Linked DNA regions of Astyanax mexicanus. The protein of the gene in region 1 binds, or shares a complex with, the protein of each later gene. Links are inferred from orthologs where the notes say so. Each region holds a gene or a part of one and is shown in the gene's direction. Other genes may lie near its edges.

What was found. The genes of interacting proteins can lie anywhere in the genome.
Region 2: the proteins of tnfsf13b (region 1) and tumor necrosis factor receptor superfamily member 17 are in contact, whole or in part, in a crystal structure (PDB 1OQD), measured with the Homo sapiens proteins. The link is inferred for Astyanax mexicanus from reciprocal best matches to the Homo sapiens genes TNFSF13B and TNFRSF17. Residues at the interface, in NP_006564.1 of Homo sapiens: Ser162, Tyr163, Lys204, Thr205, Tyr206, Ala207, Met208, Gly209, His210, Arg231, Cys232, Ile233, Glu238, Pro264, Arg265, Glu266, Asn267; in NP_001183.2 of Homo sapiens: Tyr13, Asp15, Ser16, Leu17, Leu18, His19, Ile22, Arg27, Ser29, Ser30, Asn31, Thr32, Pro33, Pro34, Leu35.

Annotation. Positions count from the first base shown.
Region 1 is NC_064418.1:9,596,204-9,603,575, reverse strand, and holds the start of tnfsf13b (tumor necrosis factor ligand superfamily member 13B), read left to right. Parts: upstream 1-4,077; 5' UTR 4,078-4,421; intron 4,422-4,545; 5' UTR 4,546-4,650; intron 4,651-4,763; 5' UTR 4,764-5,375; coding exon 5,376-5,648; intron 5,649-6,803; coding exon 6,804-6,909; intron 6,910-7,372. Other genes in the region: protein ABHD13, read left to right, coding at 1-735. UniProt on the Homo sapiens protein: Cytokine that binds to TNFRSF13B/TACI and TNFRSF17/BCMA. TNFSF13/APRIL binds to the same 2 receptors. Together, they form a 2 ligands -2 receptors pathway involved in the stimulation of B- and T-cell function and the regulation of humoral immunity.
Region 2 is NC_064422.1:23,727,265-23,734,610, forward strand, and holds the start of tumor necrosis factor receptor superfamily member 17, read left to right. Parts: upstream 1-4,233; 5' UTR 4,234-4,329; coding exon 4,330-4,492; intron 4,493-5,730; coding exon 5,731-5,874; intron 5,875-7,346. UniProt on the Homo sapiens protein: Receptor for TNFSF13B/BLyS/BAFF and TNFSF13/APRIL. Promotes B-cell survival and plays a role in the regulation of humoral immunity. Activates NF-kappa-B and JNK.

The DNA of each region.
Region 1 (7,372 bases):
AAAGACGGTGTGAGGCTGAACCTGATCTTGCTCCGCTACACTGGCGAGAATCCTGCTTCTGCCCCCACTATTTTGTATTTTCACGGTAATGCAGGAAACATTGGGCATCGAGTTCCTAATGCCCTGCTCATGCTCGTCAACCTGAAGGCCAACGTAGTTCTGGTGGACTACCGAGGTTATGGGAAGAGTGACGGAGAACCCAGTGAAGAGGGGCTTTATCAGGACGCCGAGGCCACCCTGGACTACATCATGTCACGACCAGATATTGATAAGACTAAGATGGTACTGTTTGGGCGTTCGTTGGGTGGCGCCGTGGCCATAAGGTTGGCCTCAGTCAACCCTCACCGTGTGGCTGCCATCATGGTCGAAAACACTTTCTTGAGCATCCCACACATGGCAGCGACCCTCTTCTCCTTCTTTCCAATGCGTTACCTGCCCCTCTGGTGCTACAAGAACAAATTTCTGTCCTACAGACACGTGGCACTGTGTCGCATGCCCTCTCTTTTCATTTCTGGCCTGTCAGACCAGCTCATTCCCCCCGTCATGATGAAGCAGCTGTATGAGCTGTCGCCCGCACGGACTAAACGCCTCGCCATCTTTCCAGAGGGCACGCACAACGACACCTGGCAATGCCAGGGCTACTTTGCAGCTCTGGAGCAGTTCATGAAGGAACTGTTGAAAAGCCATGCCCAAGAGGAGACATCCCAGGGCTCAGCCAGTGTCACCATCATCTAGAACATTGACTGAGCCCACTGGAGCTGCTGTAATGGAATGTACATTTTAAAAAAAAATGTCTCTCTTCTTCTCTTTCTTTCCTCTCCCCATTTTTAGCACTTAATTTGGTGGTATGATATTTACGCTTTCAAGTATGTGGTTTTTGATTGGAGCAGGTTGCATTGTTAAATGCCTTTGAAACCTTTATTTTCCCTGTTTTGTTTAAAATACGAGTGCATGACCGGCTTCTGTAATGTAATGCCCCTTTAGCCTTGTTTTGATTGCACACACTCATTCACTCTGACTGTACAGGACTTTTCTTTTATACTTTAAGGACTTTACCATCATTGGTATACACCAAATGTCCACTCACTGCAAGTCCTACTGTATAATAAAGATATTTGCCTAATAATGTCAGGCAAAGTGTAAAATATTTGTCAGTTTTTTATTATTTTTACTTTTTTCTTTTTCATCTTCACTGCCTTCAAACAGTAAACATCACTTCACTGTTGGAAACACTAAATTCTAAGGGCTCTGTTTTCAAATGCAAAGCCCACTGGGACTGGCAACAGGTTTTGCCACCTTCTCTTTGCTTATAGATGGAGCTTCAATGTCAGCTCAGGAAATTGTTTATTTGTCTCAGAGAATCATCTACCTTGTAGAAGTCCTCCTAGGTTGCAACTGAATGATGGTGTAAGTTTGCTTTGTTGTTCTTAAATTTATATACTTTTTTCCCCCAGAGCAGAAGGTAGGCATGATTCAACTTTGAATCTTGGAATATTGTAGTGGAGTAGTGGGTCCAGACGTATGTCCTATTATTAACATAATAACAAAGTAAATGTAGCCAAAAAGTGGCTTGACAGTGCAGATCATTTGCACATCAGGTACATATGTTTTTTCTTGTAGATACATGATGCCACATTAAGAATGACATCATTAAAACACAACAAATAAGAACCCTCTCAGTGTTTTGAGTGGCCCAGCACTCAAAAAAATGAATTGACCTTTTATATGTGCAGTCATTTAAAGCCTAACCAATCAAAGCAGGCATTTGGAAAGTATTTGTCAGTGCGAATGTGTTAATGTAAGGTCTTTCATATGCATGATTCAACATTAAAATCAGGCTTAATTTGTGAAACATTATAAATGTGGTCTTTTGTAACGATGAGACTTGTAATGGAAGGATATTGTCGTACCTGTTGTCGGTTGTTTGTTTGGCATGAAGTGCATGTAATGTTTCACTCTTTTCATTAGAGTATATTCGGGTGGAGAAGTCAGATATGTGGAATTGAATGATTTGTTAGCTCCCTTTATCCAATATTCCAGTTATATGAGTCACATAAAGAAAAATTGATACCCAAATTATACTTTTTTTTCCATATTTTTTTCTTAATTGTAACAAAAAGCCGATGTGAATAATCTCATTCTCTTGCTTTCAGAGTCTCCATGAATCTTGTTGTAACGAATACACTTTATTAAAAACATAAAACAGCATTACTTGTGCATAAACTACAACTATGTTTCTCTAATCATCCTGCTGGATGCTGTTTAATTACACTAAACTATAATAGTGTAGTGTGGTTTAGGTCTGGCAGACTAGAACTTTAGCACAGTGACAGTTTACGAGGAAAAAAAAAAGTGTGGATGAATCTTTGGAAGTAGATTCAGACTTTAGAGCAATTCCACATGTTTACCTCACTGTCTGCGTTTCTGTGTGTGCTCTCCATTGCAGGTTTTCTACCTCATTGTCTGCACTTTTACTTTTTGGTGTTTTATGCAAAGTATCAAAAAGAAGCACCATTTATTAACTTTTTTTTTTGTAGTACCGAAACATTCCAGTTGCTGCCTTTTTTGCTATAGAATTTCAATACCCAACCCTAATAACCAATAGAATAAAAAGCATTATTTGCTGCTTCACTCAAGTGAAGTCATATCTTCCATCTCTATATCGGCTGCACTGAATGGGCGGATGTTGTTGACATCCAGGCAGAATGTGATCCACTGTTATGTCATGTTTGGAAGAGTTGAGCACTTTTTAAAGAATGTACACTTGCAGCCTCCAACCAAAATAATCTCTGTTCAGCAATAATGCAGTGTTCAGGTTGAGTGTCTGCTGTGGAATATTGTTGCTGTTTCTTACTGAGCCGGTGTTTGTAATGGAATCGGACGGATGTGGCTGCTTATGTGCAGTCCGGTGGAGTGAGTCAGATCCAACAGTGAGAAAATGTTCTGAGGAGCTGCAGATGGAGTGTGGTCACTGATGTGTTTCTTTGATATTATTTTGAGTTTCCTATAAATAGCCTGCATTTCATGTTCATGGCTCTTTAGAGGAGTCTTTAGAAATTCTGGACTGGTAGCGGAGGTTTAGCACCACAGATGATGGCTGTGTTTGAATTGAAGCTATCGTTGTTTGTTTCATTCTTTACTCTTTTTTTTTTTTTAAGAAATATTATAATAGAATTTTTAAGTGCTGAAGAAGGGGATACTGGATTTTGGGCAATAGTGTCTTCGCAAAGTATGAATTTCCTTAAGGACTCAGTGGCTGCGTTCCAAAACCTAGGCGTCAGTGGGGCGAAATGGGACTGATCCTCAGTAGGACTGTCCTGTGAAGGCACCTACTTAGAAGCTTATTGATCACGCAAATAGGAGTAGTCTTATATGGGCTAAATCCTATTTTACCCCTTGGCTCTACCCCTCTGTTTTGCTTGTGCATTTCTAGGGGTAGGGTGTCCTGACTCTTGTTAGGCTGGAGTATTCTGTATTTTTTTAATATTTCTTTTTTAATTCCCATTCCAGTGTCTGAATATATACTAACGATGAAAATTATTTAGAATAAATGAGTTGTACTTTTAAAAGGTGAGTGGTGAGTAACTACATTATTATGTTATTCAGTGGCTTAAAATTTGTGGCATTAAATTGACAGTGATATCATTTGTTATATCATTTGCATATTATTGCAATTTACAATTGTTCTAAGTAAAATATACTGTCCAAAAATGTAGTTCTTGTGACTGGCCTACTTACTGCCAGCTAATTTTACACTTGATCAGTTTCAATTTAATCTTTGCCATATTCTATTTTTAAAGATGAAGGGTGGTGGACAATGGATTCATACTGTCATATTTGCCAAATTGTTGCACTTTAATTCACACCATTGATGTATATAGCTGTGGATATTTTTTAAAGTATACTTGTGGTTTGTTTGTAATCACATCACATGTTTCTGTTCTCTGTGTGCAATAAAGAAACCAAGCCGCAGGTTCTGATATTGCGTCTGAAAGCTTGCGTGTTTCCATATTGAAGCTGTGTCTGGTTCCTGTATTGCATTTTTCCTGTAATAAGATGAGTTTCATTTTGTTTCATTGGAAATGAGCTTTTGGTTACATTTTGTTTTTGTGCTTTTGTGTTTGGAGTGTTTTTTTTGGAGCATTTATTTATTTATTACACATTTTCTGGCAGACCTGCATGGAAAGGTGGCGTAGAGGCGTAGAGCGAGGAAGAGAGCGCGAGAGAGAGCGAGAGAGCACGAGAAAGCAAGCTTGGCAGGAAGCTGCACAGCGCTGGTTAACGGCTTGAAATAGAGGCAGGGCGCTGACACTACGCTCTGCTGCGTTCCCTGTCCAGCCACTTTATACAAGGAATACATCTGGGCACAAGAACCTGACCAGAATTAAATTATTCATAGGAAAGCCTCAAAGTACTTTATGGTAAGTTTGTTCACTTGTTTTTCGTTAGTCTGTCCTGATGCAGGCATTGTCATCAGATCTGTCAGGACCTGAGTTTAGAATAAAATTGTTGACCAATCTGTTGGCTGTGTATTATGAAATGCAGATTTTTACAGATGTATTCCAAAGTTGAACCAGAGGACATGAAACTAAAGAGGGTTTAATGAACTTGAGAGTGAAGCGCCTTCATGCATTTGGCTTCGTGCTGAGGGTAGGTTTATAATTTGCATGCCACAAAAGACTTCCTTTTACTGACAACCACAACAAATGATCTAAAAATGAACTTTGTCAAAAACTGTGTCTTCCAAATTTCTCTGTGCACAGCAGAAGCTGAACTCTGAAAAAGCTGACTTGGATGCTGAAGAAGCTGAAATCTGAAGAAACTGTTCTCTGTTAAAGCTGGACTCTGAAGAAGATGAACTCGACTCTGTAGAAGCTGGACTCTGTAGAAGCTGGACTCTGTAGAAGCTGAACATTGAGTTCCTCAGACTGTAATGCCAGCTTTGGATGTTGCTCCATCTCGGGCCTAACTTGAGGCTGACTTGAATGCTGAAGAAGCGGGACTCTGTAGAAGCTGGACTCTGAATCAGTGGAACTCTCTAGATAATAAACTCTGTAGAAGCTGGACGCTGAGGAAGCTGGACTCTGAAGAATCTGGACTCTGAAGCAGTGGAACTCTGTAGATAATAAACTCTGTAGAAGCTGGACGCTGAAGAAGCTGGACTCTGTAGAAGCTGGACGCTGAGGAAGCTGGACTCTGAAGCAGTGAAACTCTGTAGAATCTGGATGCTACGGAAGCTGGATGCTAAGGAAGCTGGACACTAAGGAAGCTGGACGCTAAGGAAGCTGGACGCTGAAGAAGCTGGACGCTGAGGAAGCTGGACTCTGAAGCAGTGGAACTCTGTAGAAGCTGAACATTGAGTTCCTCAGACTGTAATGCCAGCTTCAGGTGTTGCTCCATCTCGGGCCGAGAGCCGGAGGCTCTCTTGGGCAGTTGCTCTTCTGATCTTGGCTGCCATCACCTCATCCTCCCTGTCGGCTCTGTCTCTGTACCATGTGCTGGCTCTGCAGGCCGAGGTGGAGGGGCTGAGGACTGAGGTGAGCCGCAGGCGAGAGGAGCAGAGGAGTGCCCTGGATGAAGGTGTGAGAGGAGCTCAGTCTCAGCAGCAGCAGCAGGAGGAGGAGGAGGATGACCGGAACAAAGCCGAGGTGAGAAATACCTGCTGAAGGAAAGAAGCCATGCAGATCCATGACTCTAAGGCAGGCCAGGTCAAATATTTTCACTCCTTATTAGAAGTGTTGAATATTTTTGGCCAGCACATTTGAGTAGTTTACCAGCTCCAACATGCGTGATGTAACTAATCATTTAGTAAACAACCATTTCCTGAGCTGAAGGAGATATGGTCTTAACAGTAGAGCAACATAGTTATATGTAGGTCACGGGGAACTCCAGGACCAGGATTAGGTAGCTGTGCTTTAGAACAAGGCTCTACAACAGGAGAATCATTTATTCTAAGTACAAAATGTTACACAACAAGTCTTTCAGGGTATCCTTTTTTTATTGGATTTTTTTTTTTTAAAAACTAGGATTAACACCAGTGAACATTTAATTTCCTTATTCATTATTGCTTTTAGTAATTTAATGAAATGTAATAATCCAAAAAAATGTGTTTATACTAAGTTAAATCAGTTCACCCTGGAAGGTTTGCCTTTACTTGTACTTTAGTCATGATCTTCCTGGCTCGGGGTGCTGGAAAATGCAAGCTATTTTTTAAACTACCATTCATACAGAGAAAAACAATTATTCTGTGATCTTAATCGTTTGCTGGAAATGACTGCAGTCATTGGTTGTCCTTTTAATCAACTCTCATTAAAGTTGAATGCCAAGACTGCTGTCACATGGACTGATTAATACCACACAGGTATGAGCATATCCATTGTTGTCTGATAGTTGTATCCTTCACACTTACACACCTTCATTAAAGAGCCAAAAGTCTGCATTAAAGACATGATCCAAAAGCTCACTATTAGAACACCAAAAAGTACTGAAAGGTCGATTTTAGTGTAAATTTTAATTTTAATTTTTAATTTTAAGTCATGTATCATTTTCATTCCATCTCACACTTATGCAGTACTTTGTGTTGGTTTATCACTTTAAAATAAAATACATTTACGTTTGTGGTTGTAAGGTGACAAAATGTGAAAAAGTTTAAGGGGTATGAATACTTATATACTTTTACTTATATATATATAAACGTGCCAAATGTGGAGAGAGTGCACAGAAACGAGGACAGCAGGGTAAACATGTTGAAGTGCTCTAATGTCTGACTCTACTGCCTTTTATTTGTTCTTCTCTTGCTGCAGACTAGCAGTGTGGTGCCCACTGAGCTGGAGATGAGTGTTTCTGGGGGGCAGCAGGATCAGCCAAGCTTAAAGAAGAGAAGTCTGGGAAGTGAGTCAGGTCAATCAGGCAAGCCCCTTTCTGCTGTTTGTTCAGCTGTGCAGGGGACTTCCAGAGCTGCACTTACCCTGACTATAGTTTTAGTATTATTAGTGTAGTTATATATGTATAGTTTTAATATTATTACTGTAAATGAACGAGCATTGTCTAAGAAGTGCGTCTTTATTATGTCAATAGGACTGGGTATCAGTCTGTGCTTATTGATGATACTTAAACGTGCAGATACTTTAAAGTATATCTCTCTCTTTCTCTCTCTCTCTCGCTCTCTCGCTCTCTCTCAATCTCTCTAGCTTTCTCTCTTCCTCTCTTTCCTGAGATATTATGATGCAGTAAAAATAAAGACTCTATTCTGCCAGACCTAAACCACACTACACCATTATTACAGTCTCTCTCCTAAAAAATACAGGGAAATGTCAATATAAAAAAAATAAAAAATAATCCATGATCTTTTTTTTTTTTTTTAAGTGATTGA
Region 2 (7,346 bases), on another chromosome or scaffold:
ATTAAATTATGCCAAATAACTACACAGGCAAAGTGTATCAAGTTGAAATTAAGCAAAATGTTAAGTTAAAAATATTTCAAATATTTACACTGCTAATGTTTGAAGAGTTCAGAAATCAATCTTTGGTGGAATTACCCTGATTTTTAATCACAGTTTTCATGCACATTGGCATGTTGTTCTCCACCAGTCTTACACACTGCTTTTGGGTGACCTTATTCCACTCCCTACTGAAAACCTATGGAATGTAATCAAGAAGAAGATAGATGACCAGAAGCCATCAAACAAAGCTGAACTGCTTGAAGCCAGGAGTGGCGTAAGATCACCCAAAAGCAGTGTGAAAGACTGGTGGAGAGCATTTCGAGACACATGAAAGCTGTGATTAAAAATCTTGGTTATTCTACCAAATATTGATTCTAAACTCTTCCTTAGTTAAAACTTTAATATTGTTGTTTCTAAATGAGTATAAACTTAGTTTCTTTGAATTTTTGAAAGCAAATAAGATTTTCTGCAAATAGATGCTCTAAATTACAATATTTTTATTTGGAATTTGGGATAAATGTTGTCAGTAGTTTATAGAATAAAACAACAATGTTTATTTTACTCAAACATATACCTATAAATAGTTAAATCAGAGAAACTGATTATTTTAAAGTGGTCTAATATTTTTTTCCAGAGCTGTATATATAATGCATATATATGATATTTGATATTAATATTTAAATTTGTATTTTTATTTAATGTTTTAATTCATTCTTGAGATTACTTTCTGAGGAAAATAGAGGGGTCTGAAAAGCAGTTAAATTGGCAACACTTTGTTTCAACAACAACTACTGTTTTTTTTTAGGCACATGCTATTTGCACCCGGGTGTATGCAGCAGTGTGTGCTATTTGCACCCGGGTGTATGCAGCAGTGTGTGCTATTTGCACCCGGGTGTACATAGCAGTGTGTGCTATTTGCACCCGGGTGTACATAGCAGTGTGTGCTATTTGCACCCGGGTGCAAATAGCACACACTGCTGCATACACCCGGGTGCAAATAGCACACACTGCTGCATACACCCGGGTGCAAATAGCATGTGCCACACAGCAAGGCTATTTTCACCCCTTAATTAAAAAAAAAGAAAGAGAACTCATCTGCGCATGTCTACCAATGAATGCGAGGGAGCGAAAAGGCGCAAATTCACAGATGTTGTTTCAGTAAAAGGTTTATTTCCTTTATTCATGACTGGAATTTACTGTATTTATGTTCGTTTGGTAGCAAAAACTAAAATGCGGTGGAAAGCCTCCGTGTCGCGCCGCGCGCTCTCCCTGCACAGAGGAATCTCGCAGCGCAGAGCCGAAAGCTGTAACACTAGAACATTAATATTAAGCAGGTTAGAAACGTAGATAACTGACGGTGATCATGCATGATCTGTTATGAGATCCTGAGATCACCGTCATTTATCTACGTTTCTAACTGACGGTATGTGCTCTTTTCCCTCCGTTCCCTGCGCTGCAGGCCAAGCAGTTACAATTAAAATCAAAATACTGCGGCTTTAATCTCGTAATATTACGACTTTAATCTCGTTATATTAGACTTTATTCTCTAATTAAGAGTTGCCCTAAAACGCCACCGCAGAAGGCATGAACATCGCCGGAGACTGTGTTTATCCTGCCTGTGCATGCATGAACTAGAAATAAGAGTTGGCTTAATCGTTCGCTGGAATAAAAGAAATCGTTCGCACGAATTAGAGAAATTGTTGGCATGAACTGCTACATCGTTCGCTCGATTTAATTATTTTTTTTTACCCACGGCCCCTCCCGGGCTCTGTACTAGCCAGCAATAAGCTAGCTAGCTAGCTAAATTAATCAGAATAAGCAACAAAATACAAAACTTTTTACTTAATAACTAAGATAAGGTTAGATACAAGTTACCTAACTGCCTCAAACTTTAATTCAATCAAATAACTTAAACTGAGATCCACCAAAACACTAGCTTAGCTTATTCGTTTTCAGTCAACAGTGTTCGATAGATAATAATTCTCACACTCTGTCTTAAATATTTATCTTAAAATGTAGAGTTAAATTGAGTGATGGGCCTTTTGTACATAAATAATAACCAAATTCTGCTTACCATTTCCTATGGTCTCCGTTTCCCCATCTGTGAATTTGCGCCTTTTCGCTCCCTCGCATTCATTGGTAGACATGCGCAGATGAGTTCTCTTTCTTTTTTTTTTAATTAAGGGGTGAAAATAGCCTTGCTGTGTGGCACGTGCTATTTGCACCCGGGTGCAAATAGACACTCCGTTTTTTTTATTATTGTTACATTGCAGTGGATACTGGGAATTTTTATGAATAAACTCAATATTAATAGAATACCTAAATAATTTTACGACTCCACTGGCCTTGTGTTTGCCACATGGGCTGTTGAGTTAGTTAGTGAGTTTTAACCATGATCTTTTAGGGTATTAGTTATCCATGTTTGATCCATTTCAAATTTACCTTCCCTGATTAAACTAACTACTGCTTTTAGATGTCATTATTTGGCTGAAGGAGATATCATGGACTAATGTAAGAGTATTTTCACACCTGTAGTTGGTAAGAAGTATATGGTTAAGAGTGAGCAAAAGGAATTCAGAACAGTGTGACACTGTAAAATAAATGTTTGAGAGGACCCTGATCATTTCTGTATGCTAATGTTGATTGTGTTCTAATTATGTGAGTGCTGTGTTGACTATGGCAGTTTATTTCTAAATGAAAATGTAATAATATTTATATTAAAATATACAGTTTTATTTGGGTATTAAAGAATCACAGTGAAGCTATCTGGTACCTCTTTTATTGTCTATTGTAAGTATATCAAATCCTTATAGTATTAGAATGTATTATGCTATTGGAAAGCATTACTTGCTGACTGTACAAATCCTTCTGAGATATACCAATTATTTTGTCCACGGTAGTGAACATACTGTATCAGTCAAGATATTGTAGATTAATGTTCAAGACATGAAAACAATTAAAGGACACATATAAAATTATATTAAAAAATATTGTTGGAGTTGCTAATCAAGGAACTCCTTCAAGAGGCTGAAAAAAAATTCCAGGAGACTCTACCTCATGAAGACACTGATATTAAAATACCAAGAGTGCAGATCTGTCCTCAAAGCTTAGTTGTGCTCCTGTACAGATTTAATATCTTCAATATTAAAATTACAATAAAAAAAATCATAAAAAGAAAGAAAACACATTAGATAAGAAGAGGTGTGCCCAAACTTTTGATTGGTACTTTAACCTACTAGTAAAACTCTGTATGCACTCTGTTTCAACTGTACAGTCAAAAGGACATCCTGGGATTTCCAACTAGGCCCACTTGTGGGGGTGTGGCCAACAGAGCACAGATACTTTCTTTTCAAATCGCAAGGGGGGAGGGATGTGATATATTTTTAGATATTTTGCTGGTGTTGCTAATAATCAATTTGTTTCTTTAAAATGAGATTTTCCAGTTTTGTAAGATATTAGTATACATTTTTTTTACCATTTCCAACCACAGATTTCCTTGGAAAATCAGGAAAAGACTTGAAAATTAATACAACCCCTACATTTTGAGACCAAGCAATATAGCCACAGTTCGCTACAAGGGACGTAAAGCTCTGAAAAAAAAGAGACCACCCTAAATGTAGATGCATTTATTTTCAGAAAATGAGAAATGGCTGAAATAACAAAAAAGATGCAGAGCTTTCTGACCTTTTCAGAAGTTCATATTCATAAAGTTTTGAGAGTTCAGAAATTAATATTTGGTGGAATAACCCTGGTTTTTAATCACAGTTTTCATGCATCTTGGCATGTTCTCATCCACCATTCTTACACACTGCTTTTGGATAACTTTATGCCACTCCTGGTGCAAAAATTCAAGCAGTTCAGCTTGGTTTGATGGCTTGTGATCATCCATCTACCTCTTGATTATATTCCAGAGGTTTTTAATTTGGTAAAATTTAAGAAAATCATAATTTTTAAGTGGTCTCTTATTTTTTTTCCAGAGAATATGAATATTAAAATATTTTTTTCGGGATCTCAGGAGTAAAGTGTAAAGTATCAGTAAGCTAACAATACGTCAGTATCTCTCGTGCTTTGAATCATCATGAGAGTGCAAAGAAGAAGAACAGCAGAAAAGAGGAGAAGAGTAATCATGAGACTTTACTTGAACATCTCTCAGGTTAAAAAAAAACTGAACTTTAGGATGAGTTTGTTCAACTGTACAGGGACTTCCCCTTCCTCAGCGATTATTTACATACTGCAAATATAAATACTGTTTTCTCGAGATTAGGATCGATTCACAGCCCTCGCTGAAAGATGATCCTCTACTTATGGCTTTTCCTTTATATCGCTGCCATAGCTGAGGGCAAATGTGAACCCAATTTCTATCCTGATAAACTTATGGAGAACTGTCAGCACTGCTCCAAGAGATGCAACTCTCCTCCACCCGACTGCACCACGTATTGTAGGCCTTCCTCCTGTAAGTACGCCTGTTCGTGCGCTGATAAATGATTTAGTAGCTATAGGCTTTGTGATGCTGTGACAGGTTAATGTTTATGATGGCCTTATTGCATGTAATGGACCATATGATATAAAATCATTAGCAGAGTAAAAATGTAACCCTCCAATTATCTTTGAGGTAATTTAATTGATCCTATTGAGTGTTTAACACAGTTTAATTTTGTGTTTAACGTCTAATATCTTTTTTTCTAAATTATAGAGGCCAAACAGGTAAATAAAATTAGGATGGAATAATGATCTGATGCTTAAACTTTGCTAACAGGTTTAATAATTATAATATTTTTTGGAGGTGTATATTTTGGGGTCAAACTGACTTAAGGATTATAGAATGTAAGTAAATTCTGAGGATAACAGAAGGTGGCAAGTTTTGTGGTTTGGGGAATGATTAGGCCTTAACATGGGGCATATATTACCAGTCAAAAGTTTGGACACACCTTCTCATTCAATGTTTTTCTTCATTTCCTTATTTGATGTATTTGCTAATAGTAAATACATTTAAACAATTAAGTGACACATATGGAATTATGTAGTAAACAAAAAAGTGTTTATCCTCCACAATCCCCTGATCTTAACCCAACTGATATGGGTGAGCTGGACCACAGTTTGGAGGAACCTCCAGGACCTCCTTTAAGAGGATGAGAAAACTATTCCAGGTGACTCTACCTCATGAAGACATTGAGATTAAAATACCAAGAGTGTGCAGATCTGTCCTTAAAGCTAAATGTGCTACATAGAAGAATCTTAAGCATAAAACATATTCTGGTTTGTTTAACACAAAATAATTCTGCATATGTTTCTGTATAGCTTTAATATAGTCTTCAATATTAATTTTACAATATAAAAAATCATAAAAAGAAAGAAAAACACACATTGAATGAGAAGAAGTGTGTCCAAACTTTTGACTGGTACTGTATATTGGTGTTAAAACCTTTTTTTATTATACTGTTTAGTGTGACAGATGTCCTATTACATAATGTAGTATCAGAAGTATACCACTAAGTGTTATGTGAAACCAGTGCATGTGACAATTATGCAAAAATCAAGAGAGGACAGATATGGCTGAACACTACAGAAATGCAGCAGAGTTTCAGTCAGTTGTGACTAATAAACATCTCTCCTATAATCAATGGTCACATTAATTAATAGGACAGAAATTGTGAATGTGTGAATAAATGTGTGTTTGTGTGTCTTATACAGCTGGGAAGAAAGAAGCTGGAGAAAACCAGAATGCACGTATAATCCTCATAGTGCTTATTGTGTTTCTCGGCACTTGTTTGGCGCTGATGGGAATCCTGACGGTCATTCGTAGGAAGGCCTGTAAGCACGTCCTCATAGCTAAAGGTATAGAGAGTGTTAAAGAGTAACGGTTTATTTTACCTTGAGTGTATTGACAAATATCTTTCAATAATGATTACTTATCTTAGTATCTATAATTACATAATTATTGTGTGAAACCTTGTATTTTATAGGCATTAACCAATACTCACATTATATTTGATCATTTTTACTCACAGTGTATTTTACACGCATTTATATAAAAGATTAACCAATAATCACAATATATCCTTTACACATATAGTAAAACATTGTTTGATATGGCATGTGACTAACACAGACTTTATTATATGACAGATTAACCCACATTAACATATAACATATGAGATGTAGCTCAGGCTTGAAGTATTTTGTTTTACTGCATGACCCTAACTAACGGTCATCAATTCGACTGGTACGGGGCTAATTTGCTACAAAAAGGCTATTAGATCAAAGCAGCCTTTTGGTCAGTGAGTGCCTCCCTAAAAAACCTCTACTTCAAAGCGGGGGGTGACGCACACACACAGATAGTGCCATGAGGTTCCATTCTGGAAGAATACAGTCAAGGTCAAACACTAGTGGTCCAGTCAGACACGTGAAACTTCAGTATTAACACGTGCATGCTAACATGAGATGATTTTAACAACGCCTCATCAACAGGCTTACGTCATTTTGGGTATAAAACATGGAGTCAGATCAGAGGGGGTCAGAACTCTTACTTAGACGGCTGTAACACTGTCTTATATGTATTGGTTCTCCTGAATATTCAGTACTTTGTAATAAATACTTGGTTTGCTTTCAGCTTCACTCCACCTGTCTGACTCTCTCTATCAAACGAACACGCAGGGGAAGTTGTACCCCGGACGAGAGGTGGGGGTAGCCCACCTTTCATTTTCTTTTCTACAACAGTGTTCTACACACCCTTTACTGTAGTGTGTTTTCAGTCTTGGTTGCAGACCATAATTTTATATTTAATATGGGTATTTTGTTAATAATATTGGACAAAATTATTTTTTTCAAAATATGTAATATATCACAGTGGTATACTAATAATGTGTAATATGCTTTTTCTAACAAGGAAAATATTTATTTCCTTTCTATTTTCTTCCAAAAATCTTCTGTAGATCTGTTGAAAATTGTTGTATGATATATACAGCTCTGAAAAAAATAAGAGGACACTTAAAAATTATGTTTCTTTGATTTTACCAAATTGAAAACCTCTGGAATATAATCAAGAGAATACTGGATGTTCACAGCCATCAAACCAAGCTGAACTGCTTGAACTTTTGCACCAGGAGTGGCATAAAGTTATCCAAAAGCAGTGTGTAAGACTGGTGGAGGAGAACATGCCAAGATGCATGAAAAATGTGATTAAAAACCAGGGTTATTCCACCAAATATTTAATTCTGAACTCTTAAAACTTTATAAATATGAACTTGTTTTCTTTGCATTGGTTGAGATTTGAAAGCTCTGCATCTTTTTTGTTATTTCAGCCATTT